4 linked regions of the Lonchura striata genome follow. The main gene of each other region encodes a partner of the protein of the gene in region 3 in a complex. Links are inferred from orthologs where the notes say so. Each region holds a gene or a part of one and is shown on either strand. Other genes may lie near its edges. The genes, in order: LSM5, LSM7, TXNL4A and PRPF4.

Region 1 (7,452 bases), on a different chromosome or scaffold from region 3:
CACAGTCTTTGAATCAACCAGATGTGGACACCTAGATGGTGGTACAAGATGGGCAGAAGAAACAGGTGCATTTGAACAGGTATTTCCTTTCCTCATGATAAACACTACTTCCTTTTATTGTGGATTTGGAGCAACAAAGGTTCTTTTTTCACCATTCTGCAGACTAGGCAGTGGATCTGAGGAGGGCAAATCCTTCTGTCTCAAGTTCCTCATTGAACTTGTAAAAATAATTCCAAGGTAATACTTGAGTCGGGCTATAGAACAAGACTCTCAACTCATCACAACTTCCAGACTCCAGGACAGCACAGAAACCGTTCTACCCACCTTGTGAAACCTAATAACCCATAGTCTTGTTCTTGTTTATGCTTTCAGCGCAGCTAGGCCTGCATGGCTGGGATCATAGATTAAGTCACTGGGAAGTGAAAGTGAAGGCACAGGGTAGCCAGGGAAGAGCGATAGGGAGAAGGGAAGTGGAGCAGTTTGCTTCCCAGCACTTTGCCATGCCTATGGGAATGTGGAGTATCTTTGAGTCCATGGTGATTGATGATTGTTCAAAACTCTTGCACAATGTCTAGTTCTAGTCTTGAGGTGTAGTTGTAGAGGTTGAAACAATCTAAATGACAGAAGACAGTACTGGACAACCTGTCTGAGTGTGGTGCTGCGCTCCAGGGATGCCTTAAAGCAGAGCAGGTGGCTGCTCCTTAATTCCAGCTCCTCAAAAGAAACCATTGATTTGGAAAGTTTATTTTTATTTATGTTTCCCTTCCAATTTGGCTGATTGGCTGTCAGGATTTTTCCTTCATATCTTCATTTCCAAAAACTGCTTTCAGGAAACACCCAGTCATTGGTTTCTAACATTAATACTGCATGACAGCAAGTGAATGCAAAGAGTGATCTGCTATTTTTGCTGCCAACACTGAGAAACTTTCAAGGACAGAAGAAACTGTTGCTAGATGGCTTAATGAAACAAGGTCTGTGAGATAACACAGTGTGACAGCAAACTCCTGAAGCTGGGTACTCTGAGCATATCTTTACACTTTCTAGACCAATAAATAATACTTCCTGTGCTCTACCAGGTACTCTGAGTAAAGACAGGATTCCATAGTTTTTATGTAGCTCTGACTTTGAGTTCCACATACGTTCCTTTGCCCCTTCCCCTCAGAATAAGTGTATATATTGAAGCTGGCTTGGGTGTTTCAAAACTACAATGCCCTTGCCATAGTTTTGCCTGCCCTGTGGCTGGGCTGCAAGACTTCTGCTGTGAGATTATTGCACTGCATTTGGGACCCAAATGGAAGATGATGTTTTTCCATGTCAGTAGCCTAAAGAGAAAGACTTCAGTGTCATTCCAGAAAGTGGAGAAAGACAGCAAACAGATCACTCTGGCAGTTTTGCGTAGAGTGGCTGGGCAGATAGGGAACACAGTGTAGAGGCTGCAAGGCCAGATCTTTCCCAAACCCAGGCAGAAGTAAAGGAGTAACTGAGCAGCACTGGAAACCACAAAGAGGGAAAATGCTGTGGCCATTTGCACAGGTAAGGTGTGGAGCTGAAGGGACAGGACAACAGAAGTTAATTAGCTGAATTGGTAGAACTACAGAAGTTCAGTCAACAGAAGATTTCCCCAGATGGCACATGCAGGCATTTAAGAAGGCAGAGATTCCCTCAAAGGTCAGCATTGCAGGAGTCGGAATTACTTCATGAGGGATAGTTTCCTACCAGTGGCTATGGGGCAAGAATCTGCTGCTTGTGTGGAAAGGATATTTGTTTTCTCAGCTGGAGAGCTCTCCAAATGGCAGCAGCTGAGACAAATGCAGACACCTTCAGGAGAGTAGCAGGGCAGTAGCAGTCCTCTGAAACTTATATTCTCCTCAGGTGGCCCAAGTTTTCTAGGCAAGAGAGCAAAGATTGCAGTGCACCTTGGAGGAGCAAGGAACATAAAGAACAGCAAGGAGCAACTTGATGCTGTCAGAAAATTCTGTTACAGACCTGGGTACCTGTGCTTTTAATTAAAAGAATTAAAAGAAAATTAAATTAAATTAAATGAGAGGCAGCTGCTGGGCACAAAGGCTTTATGCAACATCAAGGTGAGAGGCTCCAGGGTCACAAATTGGTATTTTGATCCATCTCTGTTCCATTGATGCTGGTCAATGGAAGGGGCCAAGTTTCAGCTGTCAGAGGTAGCTGAGGATGAGGATGTTGCACTCTATGCAACACTGTCAATTGCATGCACGAAGACAGGAATATACAGAAATCCAGAGTCTTAGTGTCCAAATGAGATGCAGAGAACAAGGACTTAGGTTCATGGAGCACTAGGAAGCCTTCTGAGACAAGAGGAGTCTGAACAAGAGGAAAAAGCTGCACTTTGATCTTAAGAGAGGAAGGCTTTTGGGCCTAAAAATTCAAAAGCTCCCAGAGGAATATTTAAAGTAGAAGCTGGGGGAAAGCAAACAGGCATAGAAGAGCATGTAGTGTAGACTGATGTGATGTTAAAAAGTGGATACATCTAGGGTTCAATGCCTCTTGGGAAAAAACAGAAAGAAAATTAAAATAAAAATTGCAATAAGCAAGTCAGACCATTAATGCCAGTTAATTTTCACATGCAAAATTAAATGTTGGTGTCAGGGCAAACCTGGCACATCCTTGAATGGAGCCTGGAGAACGAAATTAGGGATGCTGAAATGGTTACCTTCAAAGAACAGTAATAATGGCCATCACAAGAACTGGGATATGGACGATCAATAGTATTCAGTGTTACTTTGCTGATAGTTTCATGGCGAGGAAGGAGTCAGTGCCCTCCTTCCCCTCTGCAAAGCTCTGGCCAATGCCCTCCTACCTCCCAGCACCAGCAGAATACTCCCCATGTCCACTGAGTGCTCTTCTGCTCCTGTGAGAGTACTGCCTGGGCCTTCACGGCCCATTCCCACTGGCACAACTCCTGTGATGCCATCTGGTGCCTGTGCCCAGCAGGACAGGAGCAGGTGGATAAGAGGTGAGTGCCAGTGACTCCAGTGTCCACAGTTTCAGTGAGCACCTCCTTCTCTGAATAGGGTTGGGGGCTTCCTGTGATGCAGAGTGATAGCCAGTGGCCCCCATGTGCAGCATTCCCCATGCCCAGGAGGCCCAGAGGGCTGTCTCTGCCCCCTGTGGCTACTGTGCACAGATGAAGCCAGCTGGGAATGGTGGTGGGATGAAGTTACTGAATGGCTTCAAAAACCTCCCACATGGCCACCTCTAGTGAGTCAACGGACAAATGTGGGGGGTGAAAATCTGCACATAAAACAGAGGGGCCAGCAACAGCAGGCAGTGACTGTTCCCCTGTGCTCAGCACTGGTGAGGCCACACCTCAAATCCTGTGCTCAGCTGTGGGCCTGTTACCAAAAGTCAGTGAAAATAAAAACTCCTTAACACTAATGTAGCATTAAGAAGCCAGCATTCTTTATTCATCTGGATGCATGACGGGATAGGTCCTCCGAAATCTTATTCATGCTGTATTTTACATACATATTGATAGGATTTCCTAGAAGAACCATATATATGAGGATCATTTCCCTGAAGTCATTAACATACGTTCCCTCCCCTCTCTCCATGTGCTCTGTCCTGGGGGTCTCTTTGGTAATCCCTGGTGGTCAGGGACACCAAAGTCACAGCTGATGGCTTATTGAACTGGTAAAAGTTGGCACAACTGGGCTGGCTGCTTTCCAATTCTTCTTCCTACAGAATAAGCATTGTGCAGTTCCATAGGTCAATGGTTTTTGAAGAATAAGCGTTGTATTAACCCACCCATTGTGCAAACAATTCTTCATCTGGCAATAGGCCCTTCTCTGCAAGAAGGATATTGAGGTGCTGGAGTGAATCCAGAGGAGGGCAACTGGAGCTCGAGTTCCCCGAGGAGCTGCTGAGGGAGCTGTGTTGTTCAGTGTCAAGAAAAAGAAACCTGGGGGACTCAACACTCTCTACACGTGCCCAAAAACAGGTTGTACACAGAGGCAGGCAGGGGTTGGTGTCCTTCTCCCAGGTAGCAAGTGACAGGACGAGAGGACAGCCTCAAGCTGTGCTGGGGAGGTTTAGGTTGGACATTAGAAAGAATCACAGAGAAGTTGCCCAAGGGGATGGTAAAGTCAGTGTCCCTGGAGTTGTATAAGGAAAGACTGGATGTGGCACTGAGTGCTATGTTTTGGCTGACGTGGTGGGATTCGTGGGAGATCTTTTCCAACCTGCCCGCTCCGTGGTGCCGCAGCAGCTGAGCCATTCCGGCGCACAGCAGACAGCCCGCGGTCCTGGCGCGGGGGCACATCGAAATGGCGGCAGCCCCGCCGGCGCCGCTAGCCTGGGCCGGCAGCACGGGAACGAAGAGGGAAAAGAGGGAGCCCCGCTCGAGTCTCGTCCGTACGCGGAGGCAGCGCAGCCCGCGGCTCCCGGGCCCCGCCTGCACCGGGGGCGGTGCGGCCGCCGGCCCGGCCCCGTCGCTGTGGGCGGAGGCGGCGGCCATTGGCCAGGGCCGGCTCCGAGATGGCGGCGAGCGCGGTGTCCAACCCGTCCCAGCTCCTGCCGCTCGGTAACCACGGGGGATTCCCGGCCCCCGGTCGGGGCCCGGCCCGTGGTCCTTGTGCGGGGGCCGCGGTGGCTGCGGCCCCTCTGGGGAGCCGAGCTGCGCTGGCGCCGGGCGGGGAGCGGGAGCGCCGGGCGGCGGGGCCCGCGCACGGCCCGGGAGGATGGGAGTGGGGGATAGGTGTGGGGGTGTTGGGGTCGGGGGGCTGAGGTGAGGTGTGGGGCTGTGGGACTGTCTGAGGGAGGCCAGTGGGAGTGGGGATGGGTGTAAGGATCGGGGGGGTGGGTGGTTTGTGTGGGAGAGTAGAGGGGGAGTGTGTAAGGTTGTGTGGAATGTGTCTGTGTTTGTGTAAATAAGCAGAAAAAAACCCGTAAGGCACGAAACACTTGCTTTGTAGAACCTATGCTTTTCTGTGTATCTACAGAACTTGTGGACAAGTGCATCGGTTCACGCATTCACATCGTGATGAAAAGCGACAAAGAAATAGTTGGGACACTTCTAGGATTTGATGACTTTGTCAGTATCCTTTGATGGATGTTTAAGTCTGTCTGATTCATGCTCTGGTCTAAGTGATTTATAGCTCTTCAGAGTTTTTAGTTCACTGACTAGAACCTTTTTATATGGATTGGTTGTATTCTGGTATTTTCAACTTTCAGGTAAAATTGCATTTGGCCTAAGATGAAAATAGCATTAATTAGTCTAGTTTTAAAATCTGGGCGTTATTTTCCTTGAAACTGGATTTTCAGATATGGTGCTAGAAGATGTTACAGAATTGTAAGTACGTTTTCTGCCTATTGTTGCTATTTAATGTTTGGTTCACTGAAACAAAACACTATGTAAGGTCTGCTAGAAAAATGTTTCTACATTTATGGAATAATTACCAGCTAACTAGTTTAACATTGGACTTAAAACTATAGAAGGTGATCTGTTCAGGACAGCCATGTCATAGAGTAGCTATTGCGTGGTTTATACTTGTATGGGGATCCTATTTGTAGTCCTAATTATGCATGGGTTGTGTGAGAAACTTTCCAGTACTTAATTTGGTTTTACACTTCTTTAAGACCTAGGCAAATATTCAGCGAGGTAGCTAACTTAAATGTTTTTACTTTATCATATCATGTTGATATGTATATTCAAAAAATTGTCAGCCTGTAGAGGGTGAATACACATCTCCATGTACTGAGTAGAAGAGACCTTTTCAGTTAGCTTTCTGTACCTAGGTGCTCCATTTATCAAGATCATGCTGCAGTGTAGCTGATTTATTTGTTAGTTCCAACCATGGTCACCTTAATGCAGAGATTTCTGTCAGTTCTATGGTCGAATCTGGAGCCATTGTCCCTGGTTCTGTGTTCTTACTTACTCTTTCTAATGCTCCTTCAGTGAGATCACACCTGAGGGCAGAAGAATCACAAAGCTGGACCAGATTCTGCTCAATGGAAATAACATAACTATGGTGAGTCATCAGAGGCTGCGTGTGTTGACTTTCTGTGCCTGTTAATCGACTGGTGATGGTATTCAACTCCTTTAAGCTGAGCTTTCCTGGTAGTTCCGTTACATCAGGAAGTTTAAGTAGCTTATCTGCATAGCTGGCCACAAAGCCTGGACTTCCAATTTTTTTTTGTGGTTAGAGGAGGGCTAAAGTGGAAATATTTGAGTCTAAGTTGGCTCTGTATGAATGAGGAGTTGTCTCCATTGTGTTGTTTTACCCATCTTGCACTTCTCCATTGTGTGTCAGAGCAGGTGCCATCCTGTGTTAATTTCTAAGCCTTTTATCTGCTTTGATGATTGTTCTGCATGTTGAAAGGATAACATATGTTCTGACTCCCTGTATGGTGTGAAATTCCTACCATCCAGTTACACTGGGGTACACTGTGTTGCCCTTGAAAAAGAACCTGCTGAATTTTCAGCAAGACATAGATACATGTCTGCATCAGATCTCATGTCTCTTCTGGGGACATATTTTCCCCATGGAGGAAGTCCATGCTTTAGACTTACTCTTATTTTGATCCCAAAACCAGTGAAGCTCTTTCTCTTTAGAAGTTCTCAGCTGATAATGAAAAAGATATCAGTAAAAGTAGTGGTTAATATTTTTTTTCCCTTCTGTATTTTTTTTTTTTTCTGTTCTTCAGTTCTTTGTTTCCTTTGCAAGGATGTGCTATGCTGATTTAGTCCCTGTTGCATTTTTGGTTTGTGCATCTCGGGAAATAATTGACTTCCTCTGTAGGGAGGGGAGAGTCAAAAAGCCACTTTTGTGGTCTAGCATGAAATCTTCATGTCCTCAAATGTTTGTTGCAAAGTAAGAGCTGTCATGTATGGGTTTGTAAAACTTAACTCTATGGCACTAATGCAAAAATGTCTTACTCTTTTGTAGCTGGTTCCTGGAGGAGAAGGACCTGAAGTATGAAGACATGATATTCAGATGTACTTTATATATATGCAAAATCTAAATAGAGATTTTGGGGTAGAAATGTGTTTGGCTATGGATTGTTTGTTTGCTTTACTTACATGCTTGACATTTTACAAAAGACAGCTCTTTAGGAAAGGTGCTAGTGGTAATGTTGACTTTGTAAGTTGAAATCATTACTTTCTTGTAAAGACCCCTGAACCTCTTCTGAATAAAAGGCTTTTTCTTTGTTGGTTACTGTGTTCTGTCAGGTGAGTGCACTAGTTTGATAATTTTATAACTACTTGATGGAGTAGAAAAATGACAGTTGTGTTTCGGTTGCCATCAGTCTTCATTTTTTCTACATCTGTTGTGTTTGTTTCTGACCTAAAATATAAAAGTCTATATAATACAGAAGTCATGAGCCAGGACATTACTGTGCTTTGGCATACAGGCAGATACTGAACTGGATGTTTTGTTCAAAGTCTGTGTCACTGGAAACCATGTGGCAGAATTCTGT
Region 2 (7,939 bases), on a different chromosome or scaffold from region 3:
TTCTTCCTTCTCTCTTTTGTCCAGCACTCAAGCAAAATTGAAGTAATTGACTGAAGATATGTTTAAATGGTCTATTGCTCTGCTTTAGCCTTCCCCAAGAAAATCACTTAGTGCTTACCAGAACTGATTAAACTTTGTTCTGTAGAGAAATATAACATCATATCCCTAACCATTGCTGCTACTAATTAGAACATTGTGGCAGACTAATTTGTCAATATCTGGTTTAATATTCGTAACGTGAACACACCAATGATTTGATAATTATGCAGTTACGCTCTCACAAATACACTTTATACATCTGTTTCTTCATATACCAGCTGAGGAACAAGATGCTAAAGATGACTGGACTCGGCAACAATGTCTTATCTTAACCTGCTCGTTCAAAAATCCATTAAAAGAATTCATCACACTTATTTATCCTTCTTTATTTCAAACCGTACTACACAGAAGTTACCATGCACCCCTAGGAGACACTCAGGGTAAAAGATGTTTTTAGAAAAACTTCTGAGAATCACAGACTGGTTTAGGTTGGAAGGGACCCTTAAAGGTCACCTTGTCCAAACCCCTGGCAATGGGCTGGGAAATCTTCAAGTATACCAAACCCTGTTCAACCTGGCCTTGAACATTTTCAGGGATGGGGCACCCACCTCCTCGCTGGACACAGTGAGTTGTGTGTTCTACCAGTGTTTTACCCTGTGTCAGTGTTTTACCACTTGCATTGTAAAATCACTCTTTTAACACACACAGTATGCCCAGAGGCAATGATGGCATTCTGCTGCAAGATGTCAGCAATGCAGTAAAGAAATATTATTGTAAAAATATACAGGAGGTAGAGATTTAATATAAGAGAATTTTTATATTTAGCTCTTCTGCATATAAATGGTCTTTGTTAACATATGCAGCAACTTTTTCCCTCTTTTATAACACTAGTATTAACTAAGTCCTTTAGAACCAATGACATTTGTCCTGAACATGCTGATATAGGAGGTCACTGATTAGTTCAGTGCAGATTAAAGCCACTTGAGCACAGGGCAAATTTCCAAGATATCTGTGGAGACAGAGAGACACTACTGTGCATACACTGTGAGGAAACAAGAACTCCAACTCCGTGCTATAGCAGACTTGTTAAGTCATATCTCAGGTATCCAACCATAGCACCTAAACTACTTTCAACAGAAACAAGTAATTTAGAAAAGTAACCTGTACTTATTATCTTGAATTTGATTTTGAAGAGTAACAAGCAACAGAGATGCAAATACAGTCACACACGAAAGACAAGAACAAAAGAATGTTCAATTATACACAATTTTGCTTTCTGAGCTATTTAATGGACATTCTTCAAAGAAATATTAAGGGAGTAAAAGGTTCCTAGTGTTAAGTGCTCAACACATTTTAGAAGCTATTTGGATTTGTGTGCCAAAAGCTAAATGAAAGTCAAGCATGAGAGGAATTAAAGGAAATATGAGCAGGGCTAAAAGCAAAAGGGGGAACACAGAATTTAAGAAACTCTGTGGAGAACACAGTCTGTGGATAATGTGGATTAACAGGCATTTTTATAAAGCTATTATCACTTAGAAGCAAAGCATAGTTCTGAAGTTTGTTCTTATCCACTTTGATGCATCCAGTTTTGTTTTTATTAATGTCAGTAGGTATGAGACAACAAAAGTTCAAGCAGTGCTGCTGTTGCACTGGCATAGTGGCAACATTTATGATTCCTTATTTCTAGAGACCACTTCATATCCTAGATTAACCCAGGAGAAAATGCCATCTCCTGTGCAGATCCTATATAATGTGCCTACAACCCCAAAAGGCTCTTTTCCAAGTGCTTGGATACCAAGTGCAGTCTTTTTCAAACACAGAAAAACAACAGCTGCTGTGAAAATAAGGTATATTATAATACTTGCATCTTGATCCCATGGCTTAAAAAGCACACAATAGTGTATAATTAACACAAAAGGAAGTGTTTTCTATAAAGCTGCAAAACTGGAAAAGGTTTTCACACAACAGAAATGTAAAATCTGAGGGCAGAATTTAACAGACAAACGAGCTAATCTAATGTTTGTGGTAATAGAAGGGCATACTTGTTAGCTCTAAATCTCATCAGGGCCTTCCACAGATCAATGCATAAAAGAGAAGAATGCTCCCCAGTTTTTCTGCTGTGCAATTTTTTTTAGGTGAATTAATGTATTTCAGAGGCAAGCACTGGACTTGCAAGCTGAATGATAGAAGAAGGCGGAGAGAAAGAATTCAGCTCACCAGTATTTCAAGAAACTTCAGCATGAGTGACTGAGCCAACTCAGTATCTGTCTTGTTTGTTCCTCCCTGCCTCTGGCCCCACACTCACGTGGATGTCCTTTTCTGCTTTCAGTAGCTCTATTAACTGACCTGGCCACTCATATCTCAGACATTGGGAGCTGTGTTCCTTGAAGAAGGAATGAATGAGCTATCCTACTCTTACGGTAGGTACCATGCCAGAGTTCCCAGGAGCTGGAGTCATTCTGTCCCATTAACTGCACTGACCCATCTGGAGAAAAGCAACAGCAGACAGCAAAGCTGCACACAAATAAACACTCCTTCAACAAACACTGTACAGTGCAGAGAGCTACATATTCATAATGCACTAATACCAGAAGACTAAATTATCAGCTACCACCTTAATGCAGAATTTCAGACAGACTTTCAAATTCTTTGGACCCATATCAGAGTGCCCTAATTTAAAATACAAACCCATCACCACAATTCAACATATTCTTCTGAAAGCTGCTATAGTGAAGGCCAGCTAGATCCAACACATTTGCTGCAGATCATATTACTATGTTCATCACTAGTCAAAGGCTCACATATCTGCTGTTGTTACAGGAAACTGAGGGGTAACAATGCCTGGAATGAATGGGAACTTAAATGAAATGTGAGAACTCGAATACCAAAGCAAGATCTAAGTGCAGACTGTCCTTGGATCTATAAGAACACACCATTCTTAAAGTGTTCCCAGATGAGGACCCAGATTTGGAAGAGTCATGCCTCAGTAACCAAGCTGATCCTTCTCCCAAAATAAGAAGATAGACGCATATGTGGACACTACCTCCTCTTGCCCCAGGGAAAACAAATAAACAAAACATTCCTAATATCCTGTTTCAAGGAGAGAGACAAAGGTATATGCTCACTAAGGCAAGAGTAAGGCACTAAGAATGAGTAAAGCTGGCACACAGCAGCTCCTGACAACAGCTGTCAACTCTGTCCCCCAGAATAACTCCAGCCATCAGTCACAGGGGTACCAAACCAGGACTAGTGCAGCAGAGCACTCTTCTCTGCCTCACACTAAGGAGGATGTACCACTCAAGCCATCCCAACAAGTGCAAGCACAAGAGATGCAGAAGTTATGCACAATACAAGGTAATCAAGCAAATTTTTAAAACACTAGCTTGGCTAACAGAAGCATACTGGCAGTACACAGTAAATCCACTTTTCACTGCAGCAGCAGGACTGTTTCAGCACCCTGGCCAGTCTGCCCAAGCTTATTCAAGTACATTAACACTTACACTGCACAAATATACCAAATGTTTACAGACAGGAATGTGCTGCAATGCATGGAGCTGAACGCAAGACCTCCAAGTACCCACCGGTGGACTATCTCACCGCTGTCTTTCTGCGCTGCCATATGCTCACCTTCCCCAAACTGATGGATCAAACTGACTCCATGCCAGTCTTTGACTCATTTTTGTTAATTCATTAATTAAATTAATCTTGTTAATTAAAGCTTATTAATTTGTCGGGCCTATACGGCCACTACTAATCCCTGCAAAGCATCAGTGGAGATGACAAAAAGCATGGGGCACGCAAGAGCGTAATGAAGAGAATGGATAAAAAAGGGGATGATACAGAAATAAAGAAGTTAGCTGACAACCAGACCACTCTGTAACTAAAGATTACTGGCAAGGAAACAGTAAGGAGACAGAGGGAGAAGAAGGAAAAATTAGAGTTCCATGTTACACCAATAATATTCAAGAAGCCATAGCACACTCCAAATTGTCTAATAAACAGTCAAGAAGTTTAAATGACAGTTAAAAATTTTGAGAACACAAACCAATTAACTTAAAAGGCAAAAGCTATGCACCATGCAATGCAATTGCTAGAAATCCACTCTCTCCTGTATCAGGATTCATGCCTAGTATCATGCCTAGTTCTCACACCCTTAAAAATGTATCCACAAAACGAATTAATATTTTAGTAATGATAATAAAAGACCCAAGACAGACTACAGAGTCACTGTCAGCAGAAATCCCTTCTTTTCTGCTGAAAGCTTCCTCACAGGGAGTCTGTCAGTCAGGATAAAACAAATCGTCCCTGCGAGGATCCGGCCCGGGGGCTCGGCTGCGCTCTCCTGCCTAGGGCTGCCTGGCGAGGATGCTGGGCTTTGCCTGGCCCCGAAGTTTTGGGAACTACGAGGAAAACGCTAGTTAATGCGGAAAGAGTAAAAAAGTTTCAGAGAAGCCCAGACACACAGAATCAATACTGCCAAATCGCCGAGGGCAGGGCCAGCAGACCCATGCGCTCCGCTGCCTTCCTGCGGCCACGGCTCGGGCCCGGCCCGCTGCGGGCGGCTGCAGCACCTCTGCGCGCCCACGGCAGGCGGCTCCGGGCACGGCCACGGCGCACGGCCCGCCCGGGCCCGGCTGCCCCCCGCCCTCAGCCGGCTGCCCGCGCGTGGCTCGGGAGCACACAGCCCGGCACAGCCCGGCACAGCCCGGCACAGCCACTGACCTGCGGCAGCAGATGCAGGAGCAGCCAGAGGCGGAGCCAGGCCGGCTGCGCTGCCATGCCGGGCCTGCCTCGCCGCCGCCGCTTTGTTCCGACCTGGGCCGGGCCGGACCCTTCCGTACCGGGCACCCAGAGCCCGCCCCGGACGTCCCGCCTCAGCGCCCCGAGCCGCCAACGGGCTCCGGCGGGGCGCGACGTCACTTCTGGCGGTGCCGAATGAAATGGCGAGCGGCGGCGGCGGCGGCGGTGCGGGGAAGATGGCGGTGAGGAGCGGGGCGGGGCGGGGCTCGGCGGCGGCGTGTGCGGGGCTCGGCGGCGTGTGCGGGGCTCGACGGCGGCGTGTGCGGGGCTCGACGGCGGCGTGTGCGGGGCTCGGCGTGTGCGGGGCTCGGCGGCGGCGGTGCGGGGCTCGGCGTGTGCGGGGCTCGGCGGCGTGTGCGGGGCTCGGCGGCGTGTGCGGGGCTCGGCGGCGGCGGTGCGGGGCTCGGCGTGTGCGCGGGGCTCGGCGGCGGCGTGTGCGGGGCTCGGCGGCGGCGTGTGCGGGGCTCGGCGGTGCGGTGCTCGGCGGCGGTGCCCGGTGTGTACCCGCGCCCCCGTCCTGCCGCCGCGGAATCCCGCGGCAGCGATCTGGGTCCGTGTTTCCGTGGATGGCGCGTTTTAACTGGGCTGCCTGTGCTCTGCCGTAGGATAAGGAGAAGAAGAAGAAGGAGAGCATCTTGGACCTCTCCAAGTACATCGACAAGACGATCCGGGTGAAGTTCCAGGGCGGGCGGGAAGGTGAGCCCGGCGCGTGGCTGCAGCACGGAGCTCTTTTCGCCTTTCGGCGTTTTCCCTCAGCCGATGCCTGTCGACTCTGCCCTCCTGCTCATGCCGCTTTCCCATCAAGGGAAGCGGAGGAGTAGTGAGTGCTTTTACTTATTAGAATTTGCAGTTACCGGTGCAAAGCTTCTCTCGTTTAACTATTTCACTCATCTTCTGGGTGCACCTTTATCCTTATGGCTCATCTGTGCATCTCTTCTTTTATTGGTTGTTTTGAACAGCCTTATTTTGGCTGGGTTTTTGTTTTTTTTTTTTTTTTGGCATTGCAAGGATGCACTTAAAGGAACAAAGAAACATTTATGGATGTAGTAATTAATACAACTGTCGTGCCTTTCATCTCTTGACATGGTAAGCATGCCTGGAGTTCGTGGTTCAATATATGCCACTGTGCCTTTGCATTCCCATCTCTTCCCAGTTGGGCAGGTACATCCCAATGCAGTTGGTGCTACCCACAGGCACTTGTTGGTCCAAGCTTACCATGTGCTGCATTTTAAAACTCCACTGGGACCTTATGCTTATAAGGGTTTGGAAGTTACTTGAACTCCTTACTGAGAAGTGTATTTGTCAAACTGGGAAGTTGCTCGGTGTAATTTTGTAATATATGTAGTGACTAGTCTTGTGGAATCAAGTTCTCCATTAGGACAAAGTGCTGGTCTATCTGCAGTGCCTTCCTGTGAGGCAGTGCTTATGTTAAAGACATCATGTGCCAGAAGAGCATCTGGAAGATGGGGTTTCTGAGGAAAGAACTTAAAATATGGTCTTGTTTTGTTTTTAACCATAACCTTTCATTAAGGATATTTATTTTGTTTTGTAGTTGCCTTTTTTTTCTTTGTGTGACTTATACTGATTTGTTATATCGTATTCTTAAAATGCCCTTGAAATTGACTGAAAGCAAACATGTTAGTGTCTTGAAGAACATTTGGAAGAATGAATTGAAAAGTCTCTAAGTTTTAATTGGTGCAATGCAGAGCAGTTTTTGTGTACTTGCCATTGAAAAAGAGGACACTGTTTAATACCTCTGGACTCACATGTTTGGTCTTGCCTGAAAGAGGGAACAGGGCTGGAGAACTCAGTGTAACTTTCTTGAAGTCTTATGTTGCTGTATACCTTGTTTTGGTCCTAATCATTGTTTTCTGTGTGGTCTTCAATAGCAAGTGGTGTCTTGAAAGGGTTTGACCCTCTTCTCAACCTTGTGCTGGATGGTACCATTGAGTATATGCGAGGTAAGTAATATGTAATCTTTGGGAAGCTTCCCCTCCCTGAGTGGCTTTCTTGACAGAAATTTTACAGCTCTGTGTGTGAATAAGCAGAAACTGCAGATTAACATCACCCAAACTACAGCATGCTTGGGATAACTGTAGACATACAGGTGAAGGGTCTATGGGACCTGACAACATGTTCCTGAGGGAATTGGCTGTTACAGTGCCCAAGCTAGTCTAAAACATTTAAAAAGTGATGGCAGGCAGGTGATGGGAAAAAGGGAAACATTGAACCCATTTTTCAAAAGGGTAGAAGGGAGCCTGGGAATTACTGTTCTGTCAGCCTGACCTCTTGTGCCTGAGAAGATCATGGAACAGATCCTCCTTGGAGCTCTGCTAAGGTATTTGGAGGACAGGGAAGTGATTTTAGACATCCACCATGGCTTTACCAAGGGAAAATCCTGTCTGAACAACCCAGTGGCCTTCTGTGATGGAGTGACTCCATCAGTGGCCAGGGGAAGGGCTTACAGATGTCTTTTTTTCTGTACTTCTGTAAAGCCTTTAACACAGTCCCCCACTATCCCAGCAGCAGGCCCCTGACCAAGTAATAATTAGCATTGACTCCATGATTCACAGAAGGCTGATCAGTCTCTTTATATATATCATTATTAAGAAACCCATCGCTTTTGTAGACTGTTATGATACACCTAGACCTAATTGGTCCTCCAATCCAAACACCATTGGCTAATTAAGAAATCACCCTTTGGTAAACAAGTCTCCATAACACATTCCACATGTTCACAATAACAGGTGCAGCAAGCCAAGATAAGAATTGTTTCTCATTCTTTTCTCTGATCTTCTCACAGACTTTTCCCAGAAAGGCCTGGGAAAGTTGTCTGTTGTTCTCTGTGGCCAGAGAAACCCCAGAACATCCTTCTCCCTGAATTGAAGGAAATGGATTTGATGGGTGGACTGTTTGGTGAATGTGGAATTGGTTGGATGGTCATATCCAGAGGGTAGTAGTCAATAGCCTAATGTCCTCGTGAACATCAATGACCAGGGGTGTCCCTCAGGGGTCTCTGTGGGGACCAGTACTGTTTAGTGTCCATCAGTGACATAGGCAGTGGGATCAAGTTCATCCTCAGTCTGCAGGTGACACACCT
Region 3 (7,095 bases):
ACTACTTTATGGACAAATAATTCATAGGAAGAAAATACAGAAACTGAGACTAGCATTTGCAACAAATGACTGAATTGAAGGTGGCTGGCAGACTTGCATTACTGAACTGAACAGAGCAAGTACAAACCCAAAAGTCTGTACTGACAATATTTATTTGATTTTTTTTTCCTTGCTAATTGTGCTGTAACTCTAGGTATAAACTTCTAGGGGAACACAGAAAGACATTGTACTGCCAAGAGCAGTGCTGACAGCTAATAATTTTGAAAACTACAGACATCAGTAAATGGATTAACTTTGCTCAGCTTTTCATTACAAACAACCGTAGCTAAAATACCTATATGTTTCTTTCATAACTGCCTCTTTCTCCACCCCACCTTCTTCTCCTCTTTCACTTTTCATGTAACCTTACCAGAAATGCAGAGGCACAACTAATGTTTGAGAACAAGCCACAGCTATTCACACTTCTGATAATGGTTAAATAAATACACATTTTAAAAATCCTCCCTAAACCCACACTGATCCAATACAACAGTTACCTGATTTATATTCAGTAATAGATAAATCCTTTCTTAAACAAGGTGTTTTAATCTAGCAAACCAATCTTTGTATTTTAAGGGATAGGTTTTTATGAGTTCCCTGTAAAGAAAATATAAAAGTGTATTTTTAGAAAAGGTGTTTAAGGCAAAATTTGTGAACTCAATTCGTGTTTCAATCAATGTTTGATTGAAACCCTGACAAAGCAAAAAAAAAAAATTCTAACATCTTACAATTATGATTTGTTTTGACATTCAGTGAAACCTTGCTTCTTTTTCATGTAACTCTAGGGGAAAAACCCAGTCAGCTCCAAGTGGAGTACATTTCAGGGAAAACAATCTACTTTGTACTTTAACATAGCATTCTAGTTTCTTTTCCTGTGAAAACTGAAAAGAAAACCTTGTTCTCCTATCATAAAGTACAGATAAATATTACTGCTACCCAAAAACATGCTGCAGCCTAAAAGAATATTGCACCAGGGTAACAAGTGTAAAATACAGCCACATTGTTTTCAAATTTAGCCTGCAATTATAGCACGTTAACATTCTGTATTATTCTCTAGAATAAACACCTGTACAATTGGAACTTTTACTCACTCTTTAAAACAGCAGAGATCCAAACATGGCTTGTAAGCAAGAAGATGAGGTAGGATCTCCCCCTTTAATCTGCCATTTCTGCAGAGGGAGATTTTTAAATAAGAAGTTACTCTGTTCTTTCTTCCCCCAGTCACCCCTAGCTGCCAGCAGGTCTGCCAAATTGCCAAGCATCCCACCATACTAACAGTAAGTTAGTACTGTAAGTCCATACTAACAGTATCTGAGCATAACACTCCCACCAGGCTGAATACAAAACAACTGTATTAAAACATGTCACAACTCTTTACGGCATTCTAATACATCTTAACCCCTGGCTGTGGGTGTAGATTTTTAATTGTGGGGACTTTCAAGTTATTTTAAAAAAGTTCAAAGGCAAAATAAACCACAAAAACAACTCCATGTCAATCTATGCAGCATGCACAGAATTTTCTATGAAAGCAGTGAAGTTGTGGATGCCCCATTCCTAGCAGTGTTCAAGGCCAGGCTGGATGGGGCCCTGAGCAACTTGGTCTAGTGTAAGACACAGCAGAAGAGCTGGAATGAGATCTTTAAGGTCCCCTCTAACTCAAACCATTCTATGATAGCTGGCACTTTTTCCTACCCAAGTTATGTTTCTAATTCAGATTTTTTTACTTCTTTCTTCATGTGGTTCAGTTAAAGACCTGTCAATATTCTACATCTACTGCTTCGCAAATCCTTTAGCAAATATATAAAAAGGTAAATTATAGCTGATTGTGTATTCTAATTTTTCCTATCTATCTATCTATCTATCTTTCTTAAGTGACCAGATGTTTATAATCATTCAGTTTCCATCTGAAAACAGCTGTGGAGTTCAGCTCTAAAAAATTAATTCAGTCCATGTAACTCAGTGGAATGCTACTGGTGTCCATGGATAACATCACTGACAGATTAATCAGAATTATATGAATGACAGATTAATCAACACCATCCTGCACATTTTAGCACCTCACCGCTTTTAAGAGCCAAAATGAAAGTAAATTTTCAAGTCACTCAGATAGAAACCTGAAGGTATCACACATTTCCACTGTAAAGTGAGACTGCTGGGTTACTTGGAGCCGCAGTAGCACTGTTTCTGCCTGAATGCCGATGGCAGCTCAGTGACGGGTTATTAACAGGCAGCAATCTCCATTTCCGAACATCTACGATGCTCTTTTCACCCCCCAGAACACTGCAAACATCAGGGCAGTCTTTAGGAGACACTCATGAAAGTGTAACCACACAGCTTTCCCGCTGCCACCTAAAGCTGGAATACCTGTGCGGAATCCCAGTTATAAGCTGCCCCAGTCTCCAAGCAAGCCATAGGGAACACTGAGCTCAGGAGCAGAAAGCTCCCGTTTACCTTCTCGGCGATGCTGTACAGGACCTCATCCATCTTCATGCACGTGGGGTCCCAGTCGTGCCCGAAGCGGATGACCACGACCCGGTCCTCCTCCGACAGGATGGCCTGGTCGACCTGCCACCCATTGTGCAAGTGCGGCAGCATGTACGACATCCTGGCGGCCGGCTGGGAGCCTGCGGGACGGCAGGGATACACATGGAGCCGACAGCCCGGGCCCTCCCGGGGCGCCGGCGGGCGCCGAGCGCCAGCACCGAGTGCCGCCCACCCCACGCGGCCCGCCCGTCCCGCCGCGGCCCGTCTATCCCGCCGCGGCCCGTGCCCATCGCAGCCCGTCCCCAGCGCACCCCGCGGGCGCCCTTCCCTCAGAGACGGAGCGGCGGCAGCGCCGGCACGGGCGGGAAGCGGAAGGGCGGGCACGGGGCTGCGCGCGCACTCGCGCGGAGGCACACACACACACACACACACACAGACACACACACACATGCGCACGCGCACAGACACGCGCACACGCACACACGCGCACACACACACACACGCACACGCGCACACACGCGCACACACGCACACGCACACACGCTTCCGGGCGCGCTCCCCACGGGAGGAGACCCCGTCAGGGACACCCGCGTCCCGCCGCGTCCCCACGCGCAGGTGGGAGGTGGAGCCGTGCCGTGGGGATTGGTGATGCCGGCTAGCACGGAGAGGATTAAACAGAGGTGATCAGGGCCCCGATCTCCTACGCTGTGCTGCTGACCTCTGATTGTTAGTACATTCTCCTGTGCCTCCATGGGATTTGACCAAGGAGATATGCTCAGAGAAGCTGTGGATGCCCTATTCCTGGAAGAGTCCAAGGCCAGGTTGGACGAGCAGCCTGGTGTAGCGAAAGGTGTCCGTGCCCATAGCAGAGGAGCTGGGTCCAGATGCTCTTTAAGGTCCGTTCCAGCCCAACCATGCTGTGATTCTATGCTATTGCATCTCTTGGCTGTGGAAGGTTTTCTCAGTGTATTCACCCACAGCATGACAATTTCCATACCCCCAGTGTCGGCCCTGCCGTGGCAGCTGCACTGCCAGCCACTCCGATACTGGCGGTGGGGTTCCATGAGGTCTCCCGCCGCTCCAGTAATCAAAATACCACTACCGGATCACTGCGCAAACGTTCCAGTGGAAGTGGTCAGCAGCAAAACCAGCACATTCCAGCACTGGTTTCTACAATCGAGCTGGCCATTGGCATAGGCCATCCCAGACCAATCTGTTTCCTTAATTCCACAGCAGACACTAATTTGAAAGGTTAGCTTGCAGCAGGCAGGGACAAAAGTATCGTTTTCACTATAAAAATTCCCCACAAGGTGCAGCTTGGGCTGTGGTGAGCAATGTGATTTGGTGACAAATAGCTTTGCCCAACAATGCTGAGCTCTCCAAAAACTATCCAAGTCCTCCAAGTCTCGCTTTGTCGCCTTTTTAGGACGTGCGGGCACAGGAGAAGGAGAGGGAGAGGAGAGACAGTCCGATCTGGCTGTAGCCACGGGCAGAGGCAGCGGGGGCGGTGATCCCCGTGCCGGAGCTTCCCTGGGAGTCGCCAGCCCCGGCGCCGGCAGTGCCCGGGCAGGGCTGGGTTAAACGAGCGGGGCTGGGCAGGAGCGCCTGTGCCCGGCCCGGAGCGGGGCCGTGAGCTCCTGGCTCTGCCCGCTGCCGCGGGACCGAGCTGTGAAAGGCACGTCAGAAAAAACAGCCCCGCTGGGTGCTTTGGTTGTCCCTCAGGTATAGCAAGTCTTCTTCTTCAGAAAAGTTAGTGGGAGGAATTGATCCCGGATAACACAAGCTGTTAACTTTAATTGAAAACTGAGTTAGGAAAATTTATGTAGGTTTATTTTGTTATGATTTAAGTCCAAGGTGATACAGCAGTGCCAACCAACAAATTTGAGAGTAAGGAGTGCGTCAAGCTCCACAGATGAAATAAGGCAACTTCAATTAGTGCTGAAGTTAATACTTACATATATTTGCCCCGTTGTCTTAATCGAAGTCATATTTTCAAAGTTTTCTCTGCAATGCCAGGACCAGAACTTACTACACTTACCTTACATAAATCATTTGATATAAGGTAAATGTAGTAAGTTCTGGTCCTGCCATTGATTATGTGATTATGAGATTATGACTGTTTACCTACATGGAAGCATGTAGGTAAACAGTCCTATGTAAATACAAACGGAGAAGAGTCAACTTAAAAAAAAAAAAAAAAAAAAAAAAAGGGAAAAAAAAAGGAACTTAGTGATACTGCAGATGGTACTAGTCCAAAACCAAAAATGTCATATCCTTGACAGCTGTTAAATTTAGCACACTGGACAAGACATCTGATAACTGAATAATTATGTTCAGGAGCAAAGCATCAAGTCTTTCAAAACTGATTCCCTTGATGTTTGGCCAGTCAAATTTGACGTACGAATTTATTAATCCAGTTGTTATTCTTGTGTACATCGCTGTCGCAGAAGTGTCATTTACAAATAGAGCTACAGGATGTGCCCACATAGTGATGGAAGACAAACAATAAGCATTGGGACCAAGGTTGGTATCTGGAGAGCCCCCTTCCTTCTTTGAGGTTCCTTTAAGTGTTTTTTGTTTCCTGCTATCAGTGTAATTTTTTAAGATTGTATCTGGGGCAAGCAGAAGACGCAGTTGTTGTTGAACCAGTGCTGAAGGCAGTGAATGGGTCATGCATGCATCAAACAGCTGGAATGGTGGGCTCAGCGTGCTCACACACATTGAAAGATCCATCAACATGCCACTAGCCTGCTTCTAGTGCACCAGCTGGTTTGTTTATAGCTAGAGGCTTCCTCATGGGTCACCTTTCTGCTTCTGAAGTGTAGGAAAGGCTTCCAAAGTGAAAGCAAGTCTGGCTCTGCCCATCATGTGTGGTGTATTGCAATGGGTAGCGGTTGGTGATGAAAGCAGATGGAATAATACAGTGCTGCCTCATTGGCATCTACCAGTCACTTGGTCCTGTCTGACGCCCAGTTTTCCCTGCTTAACAGCAGAAGGTTTAACTGCCCTCCAGGATTACCAGATTCCGATCATTTATGAAGCTGGACAATGCCATCACAATATGACATCAACTCCTCTTTTATTCTATGCATAATTCATTCTGCAATACAAATCTAGTTTATTCTAGTAATGTTGTATGATACTCTTAAGAAATGCAGACTGCATCTGGGGAAATTTGCAATTTTGACAACTACATGTGGCTGACAACTTCAGCTGGTAAAAAAAATATTAGATGTATATAAAAACATGATCTTTGCAATTTGGTTGCACTGTTCACCTCCTTGCTTTGTTTGCTGTAGTTGAAAACCAGATACTATTATCAGAGATATTGTGGTGAACTGCAGACCTGCCCCTTCAAGCCCATGTACAAAGCAGACTGAAACTGAAGCAGAAAAGCACATCAAGGCCAGGATAAAACAGCAGTACTGGTGCTGAGCTTGTAACCATTTAATCGATGTGGTTGGGATAAGTATGAGTTTGCTCAGGGCAATGGTTGACAAAACCTTCCAACCTACACTTACACTTTTTTGTCACAGGTTTGAGTTCTGATTACTCACAGAAGGCTTTTGTGAGAGGAGTGAAGCAATAGGACACAGCTGACCAGCACTGTGTGCCCAGAATAAAGTAGCATACTGCTGTGGAAAATTGTTCTGATTCAAGTAGCAAAACATCAGATTTCCTGGACACAAGTCTAGGAGATAGAATGGGATGGAGATCAAAAGTCAGTGGAGCACAGCAAAAATAATTGTAGGAAATTAGGCACAGCTATTATTAAGATATGCAGGAAATCTTCAACTACCACTTTTGCCAATAGGAGCTCCAATTAGATGTTTGGTTGTGTGTGGAGCCCCTATCTTATTGCAGAGTGCATTTGCAGGAGTGTTGTAGAGAGGACTGGGCTCAAAACTCTCAGGGCAGAGGAAAGTTCTAGCATGAAGGACTGTGTTATCAGTGGTATCTCCTCTAGTGCTCTTCCTCACTGGTTCAGCACATAGGTGTGTTAAATTTTGCATGAGGTAAGTTCAGGTAGAGATTGGAATGTTTAAAGCACTGAAGGCAAGCAGCCTAACAGCTATCCAAGAGTGGCCCTTCATTGTGCAAATTTGTTAGATGTAAACCATCTTTGGCCGATATTTGTCAGACCTATCTGGGCCTCAGTGCCACCCTACATTGCCTGTGGCTTCACCAACCACAGCCAACAGGCAAGAAACTTTGAGTAAATTTCTAGCAGCCTGTTTCATAGCACTGCTTATAGAAAGGCATTGGTGAGTAAGCTACCAGAAAAGCTACTAGTTTTGTATGAAATCAATATTGATTCAGGAGTAACATGAAACTCTGAGAAGAACAGTTTGTAGTACTGGATTTGGATGTAAGAGTGTGGGTATTCCTTGGTGTTATAGTCTAAATCAGCTCTTGGTAAAAGTACTTGGAAGTTGTCTGACATACCACGCTAGTACCAAGTGACTGTGGATTAAAAACACTATTGAGTTCCATTTGTTTTCTGACCTACTCATGTGAATTTAAGTGATAACTTTTAAAGGAACATCATTGCTTCTTTCAGGGTGTTCTCCT
Region 4 (7,883 bases), on a different chromosome or scaffold from region 3:
CTGGAGGTGCAGGTTCTCAGTGCAGTGGGGACAGTGAAGAACTCTGCTGTGAGCTCTGCCCAGTGCCCAGGCAGGACAGGCTGTGAGGGGGCAGAACCGCCCTCCTGCCTGTCTGGTGCCAGGCCAGGCTTGGGGAGCAGCTCTGGTTTAGCACCTGGATGTTAAAAAGGTTGTGCAGAGCTGGAGGTGGTTGTGCAAAGCTGGAGTCTTCCCTCTATCCACATTGCCCAGTTTGTGCCTGTAACTGGCTGGAAGAGAAGACAGTGGGAATTTGGGAAAGGCACTGAGAACAGGCACCACTTCCAGACTGGGACTGGTGGCTGGGACATGCCATGACAACAGGGAATCCTGCCCGGGCTAAAGCCTCTGGGCACACACAGGAAGGTGGTTTTTTTCCCCTGAATATGCTGCTGGTAACTTCTGGCAGCAGCTGTGTGAGGAAAGCTGATCTTTGGAATGAGATTTTTTAGGCCCTGAGCCTTAGGGAGTGAAACCATCCCTGTGTACCTGGGTGCTCCACGGTGCTGGTGCTGCTGTCCCTGCACAGAGCCCACTCTCCCACCCTGTGTAAGGAAATTCAGAACTGCTGCTACCAGGGCTTGAATTGCACCTCCTGGGCTGATGCCAGGTGTTTACTTGGACATCTTGTTTTCTCTGGGCAGTGCAACTAGAGAATAAAAGGAGCTGAGTTAAACACAGGCTTAGGTTCCTATATAGCTGCTTTCTGTAGCAAATTCATATCTGGATGAGAGAGGCAAAGTTATTTTCATGGAAAAGTTCTAGCCGTGTCCTGCTGAGAGACAGGAAAAGTGCTTCCTTCCTTCCCCAGTCTGATCTTTGAAGGGAGTTCTGTCTGTGACAGAACCTGCTGGTGCCCTTTCTGCACCTGTCACAAAGGTAAAACTCTGCTGTGCCTGCAGGCAATCATGGGAGGGGACAGCTGACCCTCCCCACCCCTGGAGAGCTGGGAGGATGTTAGTGTGGGCAGAGAAAATGAACAATCCCTTCCCACTCCTGCTGGAACTGAGAGGAAATCTGTCTGTCAGAGAGAACTAGAGCTGTTAAAAGCTGGAGATGGTGTTGATGTGGGAGGTTGGCACTGCAGGGCTTGACCCCTGCAGGAGCTCAGGGTGACACTGCCACTGCTGCCATTGGTTTTTCTGGAAGGGGGTGGAATTGTTGCCATCACAATCACAGGCTGGAGTGAGGAGCGGCTCTGTGGTGACACTGGTCACCTCATATACCTCTTGCTGTGTCTTTCTTTGGAACAGAAGCTGCTTGGCCTGATCTTGCTGTCACCTTTTAGCCACTTTTCTGTGTATCCAAGTGGCCAGACTTGAATTCTCTGGGGATGACTTGGAGATCAGGCTGTGGCTCATGCAGTGTCACTCTGGTTCTTGTTAAGCTTTTCTGTCTCATTCTGCTTGTACCACTTGTGCCCCTGGAATTGTTTCCCCCCAGAATGAGCTTCCCTTCTGCTCAGAGAGGGCACACAGCTTCTCCAGCGTGCACAGGGAGGGGACACTGCCCTGGCAGGGCTCACCTGGGCACGAGTCTCAGGTGCCCCAGCAGCTCCCACAGCCTGCACGAGGGGTGGTGAGGGCACCCTGGGCTCCCAGGGAAGGTGAGAGGGGAAGTGGCTGAGAGGAGCAGGCGAGGCCGTGTCCCCTGTGCTCCGAGCTCCTGGGGCACCGCTGGGGACGAGGCGTGTCCAGGCTGCTCCTCCTGCCGCGGCTGTGCAGTTCAGATTGTCCCCAGTTCAGTGTGACAGTCCAGAGCAGCCATCGACCGTCCCTGTCGCAGCGTCCCGCTGCCACCAGATGCCAGCACGGTGTGCTCCCAGCCGGGCTGTGCGTGCAGAGCCGGAGCAAAGCCTGAGCTCCCTGCGGGCGGGATCGGCAGCTCTGGGCAGCCCCAGCCCCGCTGCTGAATTTAGAGGTGTCCGGGTCGCACGGTGGGGGAGGGCTCGCAGGGCCGGTGTGGACAGACATGGACAGACATGCAGCATGCTGGGCTGTGCTGCCCTGCTCGGGGTGACATCCTGTGCCTGGCTCTGTGCCCCGTTTGCTCTGCACACGCTGAGCCTCCACATTCTCATCCACGAGGGAGCTCGGAGCATCCAGGCCCTGTCCCTCCGAGGGCTTTTGTTGCTTTTCTTTGAGTGCCTTTTGAGTTTGTCTGGAGCCAGTCCCACCACCCAGCAGGATTTCTAGTTTTGTTTACAGTGGACTGTCAGTTCTGTTTTTACTCTTGCTTTTTGTGGTGGTAACTTGTCTGATGTTACTGTGAATATCAAGAATCTCCTGTACATAATTAACCAATAAAATAGATGGCATTTTACTGTGCTGGGGGTGTGTTTTGGGAACGGTCTCAGGGCAGCCCTTGGAGGGAGCACAGGGCCCAGTGTTCCTGTTCAGGTGCTGTGGGGAGTGAGGAGCAGCATCCTCTGAGCCTCCCCAGCTCCCAGGAACTTGTCCTGAAGCTGCTGGAATGGGGTTCACTGAGAAGTCTTTGTTCCAGCTCAGTCGCACTTTGCAGGTGTGGGGAGGGATGGAAAGAGAAACTGGTGCCTCCCAGATCTGCCTGCCCTGGAGAAGAGTTTCAGGGAGATGTAAGAACCTCCTGAGGTGTTGTCCTCTCACAGCTGGGGCCTCTTGGGAATGCCAGCACAGCAGAGCAAGCCCTGATCATTGTTTGTGGTGTTAGACAGGAAAAGCAGCTCTTTTCTAGGCTGCTCTGGGGCTCTTCCCAGTTGGAAAAGTTTGAAGTTCTGTACATTTTCCCAGCCTGACCTGAAATTTGACGCACCTACAACACGGGAAGCGTGAATTTAACTGGAGTCCACTTTGGAGGAATGCTGAAAAACCAGACCTGGTCATTTTGCTGAAGATGGCAGGACACAGCCCTGGGCAGAGGCAGGGAGAGCCTCCAGCTCCTGCATTCCCTGCTGTGGCAGCCTGCCCTGCTCCTTCCCCAGGCTGCAGAGAGCAGTTTCCTGAGCACCAAGGAGCTGCTCAGGTTTTTATGTTGCTTCCTTCAGCTCACCCCACTGTGTGACTCCTGTCAAGTGTCCTCCACTGTCAGACTCCTCCTGAGTCTGACACCTTCCTCTCACTAAATCAGATCTGACCTCACCCTGCCCAGGCCCCTGCTGAGGAAATCCATGTGCCCTTGGCCTTTTCACAGAACACCACCAGCCATAAGGAACTGTTTGGTGGCCTTTGATCCAAGCAGCAAACAGCTCTGAGCTCCATTCCAAGGGCAGCTGGGGTGGCACCAAGCAGAGCTGGATGGAGGTGGAACAGGGAGGTGCAAAGGAAAAGCTGCTCAAACAGAAAATCTGGGCTATCATCCCACATCCATGTGCCCAGCCCACGGCAGGTCTGCAGCCACTCCCTGCTGAGGGCCCAGCTGTGACATGGATGGGGAAGCAGCTCTGGGATGCATTTGGGACCAGCTGATTGAACAGACCGGGAATTCTTTCCTGGTTCCCTCGAGAATGGACAGAGCAGTGCCTGGCACCCACAACTGTGGCACCTTTATCCCAAAACACTCATCAGACACCTCCAGGACCTTCTCCTCAGTGGGCCACCAGCGGGCAGGGCTGGAGGCTGAGGTGGCCACACTCCATTGTCTGGTTTAGATCAGCAGATCACTTTCCCGGAGGATCCTCCCGCAGAGTTTCATCCTCCTGCCCACAGGAGCAGGGAACGGGGTGCTCGAGCTGTTCCACCCCACCTGGGCACTGCAGCCCTTTACAGCAGCTCGTGGGATGATTATTCGTTTCTTTAAAAAAATACGTGTTTATTTAAAACAAAACACTCGGCAAGGGAGCGATCACGGCCATGTTAACCAAACATAAAATGCGAAAATGCAACAGCTCAGAGGGGGGCGGCGCGGCCCAGCGGGGCCGGGGCTGCCCCGTCAGAACTCGAAGGTGCCGAAGTGCGCGGCGCGGCCGCCGGCCTTGGGCTGCGGCTTGTACCCGATGCGCTCGTTGATGAGCTGCTCGCGGCTCTTGTGCTCCGTGCCCAGCGCTCCGATCGCCGCCGCCTCCTCGCCGCCCGCCGCCGCCTCCGCCTCGTCCCGCTGCTTCCTGCGGCTCTGCGGGCGAACGGCCGGTCAGGGCCGGGGGCGGGCCCAGCCCCCCGCGCCCGGCCCCGCGCGCACCTCCAGCTCCTTCCGCACGCTCTCGAACTCCTCGATGTCGTCCAGCTTCAGCTCCAGCCGCGTCGGCTTCCGACGGAGCATCGCGGCCAGAGGCGCCGCCACCCGCGGCGGCACCGAGCGCTCCGCCCTCAGCGGGCCGCCCGCCACAGCTCCCGGCGTGCCCCGCGCGGCCCGCCCTCAGCGGACACTTCATCTCCCGGCGTGCCCCGCGCGGCCCGCCCTCAGCGGGCACCGCCTCTCCCGGCGTGCCCCGCGCGGCCCGCCCTCAGCGGGCACCTCATCTCCCGGCGTGCCCCGCGCGGCCCGCCCTCAGCGGACACTTCATCTCCCGGCGTGCCCCGCGCGGCCCGCCCTCAGCGGGCACCGCCTCTCCCGGCGTGCCCCGCGCGGCCCGCCCTCAGCGGGCACCTCATCTCCCGGCGTGCCCCGCGCGGCCCGCCCTCAGCGGGCACCGCCTCTCCCGGCGTGCCCCGCGCGGCCCGCCCTCAGCGGGCACCGCGCCTCCCGGCGTGCCCCGCGCGGCCCGCCCTCAGCGGGCCGCCCGCCACAGCTCCCGGCGTGCCCCGCGCGGCCCGCCCTCAGCGGGCACCGCGCCTCCCGGCGTGCCCCGCGCGGCCCGCCCTCAGCGGGCCGCCCGCCACAGCTCCCGGCGTGCCCCGCGCGGCCCGCCCTCAGCGGGCGCCGCGCCTCCCGGCGTGCCCCGCGCGGCCCGCCCTCAGCGGGCGCCGCGCCTCCCGGCGTGCCCCGCGCGGCCCGGAAGTGGCCGTGAGGCGCTGGAGCCCGGCGCGGCGGGTCTCTCCCCGTTCCCTTCTCTGGTTCCCGCTCCCCTTCCGGGCTCTTTTCCGTTCCTGGGCTTGTTCCCGCTCCCGCCATGGCCGCCGCGCGGGCTCCGGCGGCGCGCGGTGCGGCCCGGCCCCCCGAGGTGAGTGTGCGGAGATGGGGGCGGCCCCGGGCCTGTTCCCCGCGCGGCCGCGGCGCCGGCGGTCGCGCCTGCTGCTGCTGTGTGGGATTTGCGGTGCTCCGGTGACACCGGAGCCGTTCAGGGGAGCCCAGGGCTCGGTGCTCTGCGTTCTCACCCGGTCCTGGCGCCTCCCCTGAGGAGCCGCTCGCTTTGGGCTGGGGCGCGGCACCGCTCCGGGCTGTGCCGGTGCAGGAGGACGAACAGCTCCGTGTTCCAAAGCTTTTCAAAACATACCTCTGCAGATAATAAATAAGAGGCACCCAACGCTGCCTGATGGCAGCATTTCAACGCGGCATTTTGCTCTTGTGCTTCGGCCTTCGGGCAAAAACCTCAAAGTCCGGCGGCTGCTCCGGCCCTGGCGGTGCCCAGGCCAGGCTGGACGGGGCTGGAGCAGCCTGGGGCCGTGAAGGTGTCCCTGGCACGGCAGGGTGGGATGGATGGGCTTCAGTTGCCTCCATCCCCAGCCGGCGTGGCACCGAGAGGCTGTATGTGTGCACAGTGCCCGTTCTCCTGGCACAGCCGGCTCTGGCACAGCCAGGCTGTTAGCTGCCCCCTGTCCCAACCCCTGCTCCTCTGGCTCTCCCTGCAGCCCCCCAAGGCCAAGCCCCCCGAGGAGGCCGAGGCTGCCCCGGCCAAGCGGGCGCCCATCTTCTACGGGAGCCTGGAGGAGAAGGAGCGGGAGCGCCTGGCCAAGGGCGAGGCGGGGCTGCTGGCCAAGGAGGCCATGAAGGCTGCCATGGAGGCTGGCAACATCAACATCAGCAGCGGTGAGGCTCTGCAGACACCCCTCGTCATCCCTGCCCGCAGAGGTGGCACTTGAAATGCCTCTGCTGGCTCTCTGGGCATCGCCTCACAGCAGTCAGGGTGGGAGGCTCCGTGCTTGGATCTCTCCAGGGGCTGAGGGAGGGGTGCAGCGTCCTTCTCTGGGGACATGCCACACCCTGCTGTGTCACCTGCTGCGGGTGGCCCCGCTGCGGGTGATGTGCAGAGCTCCCCGGCTGGCCCTGGCCGTGCTGCTGCGTGTGCTCAGGCTGTGTGTGTGTGCCAGGGGAGGTGTTTGACCTGGAGGACCACATGAGCGAGCGGCAGGCCGAGGTGCTGGCGGAGTTCGAGCGCCGCAAGCGCGCCCGGCAGATCAACGTGTCCACGGACGACTGCGAGGTCAAGGCCTGCCTGCGGGCCCTGGGCGAGCCCATCACGCTCTTCGGAGAGGGCCCCGCGGAGCGCAGGGAGAGGTGCTGTGTCTGCAGGGATGGCCACCCTGCAAATCCCTGAGCCCCTCCTGCCGTGCCACTGCTGTGCCACAGGGCAGCTGGCAGAGCTGGGGGTGTTCAGGCTGGGGAAGGGAAGGCTCCAGAGCCTGCCAGGGCATCAAGGGGCTCCAGGAGAGCTGGAGAGGGATTGGGGACAAGGGATGGAGGGACAGGACACAGGGAATGGCTCCCACTGCCAGAGGGCAGGGATGGATGGGATGTTGGGAATTGGGAATTGTTCCCTGGCAGGGTGGGCAGGCCCTGGCACAGGGTGCCCAGAGAAGCTGTGGCTGCCCCTGGATCCCTGGCAGTGCCCAAGGCCAGGTTGGATGGGGCTGAGAGCAGCCTGGGACAGTGGGAGGTGTCCCTGCCATGGCACTGGATGAGCTTTAAGGTCCCTCCCAGCCCAAACCAGTCTGGGATTTCTCTTGTAAGAACCCTAAGGCAGAAGGAATGTCACAGTGATGTTTGTCAGGTGAGCTGAGAATCCACTGGCTAAATCCAGCTTCATGACTCCTTCCAGGTTAAGGAACATCCTCTCAGTGGTCGGCACAGACGCGTTAAAAAAGACCCGGAAAGATGATGACAGGTCCAAAAAGTCCAAAGAAGAGGTAAGGGTGTCTCCTGTCCCCTGACAGAAGGGAGGGATGTTATATCCATCTCTGATATATCCTGCACTCCTGGCTTTGGCCAGCCTGGGAATTCTCATGGTATCCCTTCAGGCTTTTTCCATGTTGCCCATTACACCAAATCCATGGCAATGGTTGGTCTCAGTGAGGAGCACCAAGTGTGGGTTTTACTCAGACTCTGCTCTGTGCTGCATTCACTGTGCAAACCAGGAGAGCAGTGTGTGGGCTCTTACCTACTGTAGCAAGTCCCTTACTTTCCTTCACACTTGGGAAGAAAAAAAAAATGTTCCTTCTGCTGCATCTGTTTCTGCCTTTGATTGCTCTTTCTGCTTGTGTCTCCTGAGTCTCTTTTACCTTATTATTTTTGAGCTTTACTGTAAGAAATAATTTCTGCAGCTCTGGGCTTTCTCTTTAGTGGGTGATGTGTAAACAAGGAGGGAGTTACATGTCTGTAAATGCAGATGGGTCAGGGTTCAGCTGGAACATTGAGAGAAGTGGCAGCATGGCAGGATTGGATCTGTAGGGCAGAGAGTTTGATTTATCTCTCCAAATCCCTTTTCCTGGGGCTCAGTTGTGTAGAAGGCCCTTAAAAAGAGGCCAGAGCACAGCAGGGTTTGGGGGCAGGTGCTGGGAGGAGCTGAAGGGAATGAATGCAGGGGCAGCAGCACCAGGGCTTTTCCATTCCTTTTATTCCTGTTTTTACAGTATCAGCAAACGTGGTACCACGAGGGCCCTCGCAGTCTGAAAACAGCCAGGCTGTGGCTGGCCAACTACTCACTCCCCAGGTGAGAGAAAACAGAAAACATTTGTCAAATCCAAGTGCAAATCCCACTGTGGGCAGCACGGGAAATCCAGGGAGTAGGGAGGGAG

The links.
Region 1: TXNL4A (region 3) and LSM5 share a complex: the UniProt entries of both Homo sapiens proteins name them as parts of the precatalytic spliceosome. The link is inferred for Lonchura striata from reciprocal best matches to the Homo sapiens genes TXNL4A and LSM5.
Region 2: TXNL4A (region 3) and LSM7 share a complex: the UniProt entries of both Homo sapiens proteins name them as parts of the precatalytic spliceosome. The link is inferred for Lonchura striata from reciprocal best matches to the Homo sapiens genes TXNL4A and LSM7.
Region 4: TXNL4A (region 3) and PRPF4 share a complex: the UniProt entries of both Homo sapiens proteins name them as parts of the precatalytic spliceosome. The link is inferred for Lonchura striata from reciprocal best matches to the Homo sapiens genes TXNL4A and PRPF4.

What each region holds. Positions count from the first base shown.
Region 1 is NC_134642.1:57,672,720-57,680,171, forward strand, and holds the start of LSM5 (U6 snRNA-associated Sm-like protein LSm5), read left to right. Parts: upstream 1-4,451; 5' UTR 4,452-4,509; coding exon 4,510-4,555; intron 4,556-4,973; coding exon 4,974-5,069; intron 5,070-5,295; coding exon 5,296-5,323; intron 5,324-5,929; coding exon 5,930-6,002; intron 6,003-6,920; coding exon 6,921-6,953; 3' UTR 6,954-7,452. UniProt on the Homo sapiens protein: Plays a role in pre-mRNA splicing as component of the U4/U6-U5 tri-snRNP complex that is involved in spliceosome assembly, and as component of the precatalytic spliceosome (spliceosome B complex).
Region 2 is NC_134630.1:1,560,408-1,568,346, forward strand, and holds the start of LSM7 (U6 snRNA-associated Sm-like protein LSm7), read left to right. Parts: upstream 1-4,928; 5' UTR 4,929-4,979; coding exon 4,980-5,021; intron 5,022-5,444; coding exon 5,445-5,535; intron 5,536-6,728; coding exon 6,729-6,800; intron 6,801-7,939. Other genes in the region: SPPL2B (signal peptide peptidase-like 2B), read right to left, coding at 4,762-4,818. UniProt on the Homo sapiens protein: Plays a role in pre-mRNA splicing as component of the U4/U6-U5 tri-snRNP complex that is involved in spliceosome assembly, and as component of the precatalytic spliceosome (spliceosome B complex).
Region 3 is NC_134603.1:84,666,513-84,673,607, reverse strand, and holds the start of TXNL4A (thioredoxin-like protein 4A), read right to left. Parts: upstream 3,008-7,095; 5' UTR 2,974-3,007; coding exon 2,835-2,973; intron 2,664-2,834; coding exon 2,491-2,663; intron 1,207-2,490; exon of another isoform or gene 1,131-1,206; intron 1-1,130. UniProt on the Homo sapiens protein: Plays a role in pre-mRNA splicing as component of the U5 snRNP and U4/U6-U5 tri-snRNP complexes that are involved in spliceosome assembly, and as component of the precatalytic spliceosome (spliceosome B complex).
Region 4 is NC_134624.1:4,700,076-4,707,958, forward strand, and holds the start of PRPF4 (U4/U6 small nuclear ribonucleoprotein Prp4), read left to right. Parts: upstream 1-4,873; 5' UTR 4,874-5,041; coding exon 5,042-5,092; intron 5,093-5,720; coding exon 5,721-5,898; intron 5,899-6,179; coding exon 6,180-6,366; intron 6,367-6,907; coding exon 6,908-6,995; intron 6,996-7,718; coding exon 7,719-7,798; intron 7,799-7,883. Other genes in the region: anaphase-promoting complex subunit CDC26, read right to left, coding at 3,925-4,104, 4,171-4,251. UniProt on the Homo sapiens protein: Plays a role in pre-mRNA splicing as component of the U4/U6-U5 tri-snRNP complex that is involved in spliceosome assembly, and as component of the precatalytic spliceosome (spliceosome B complex).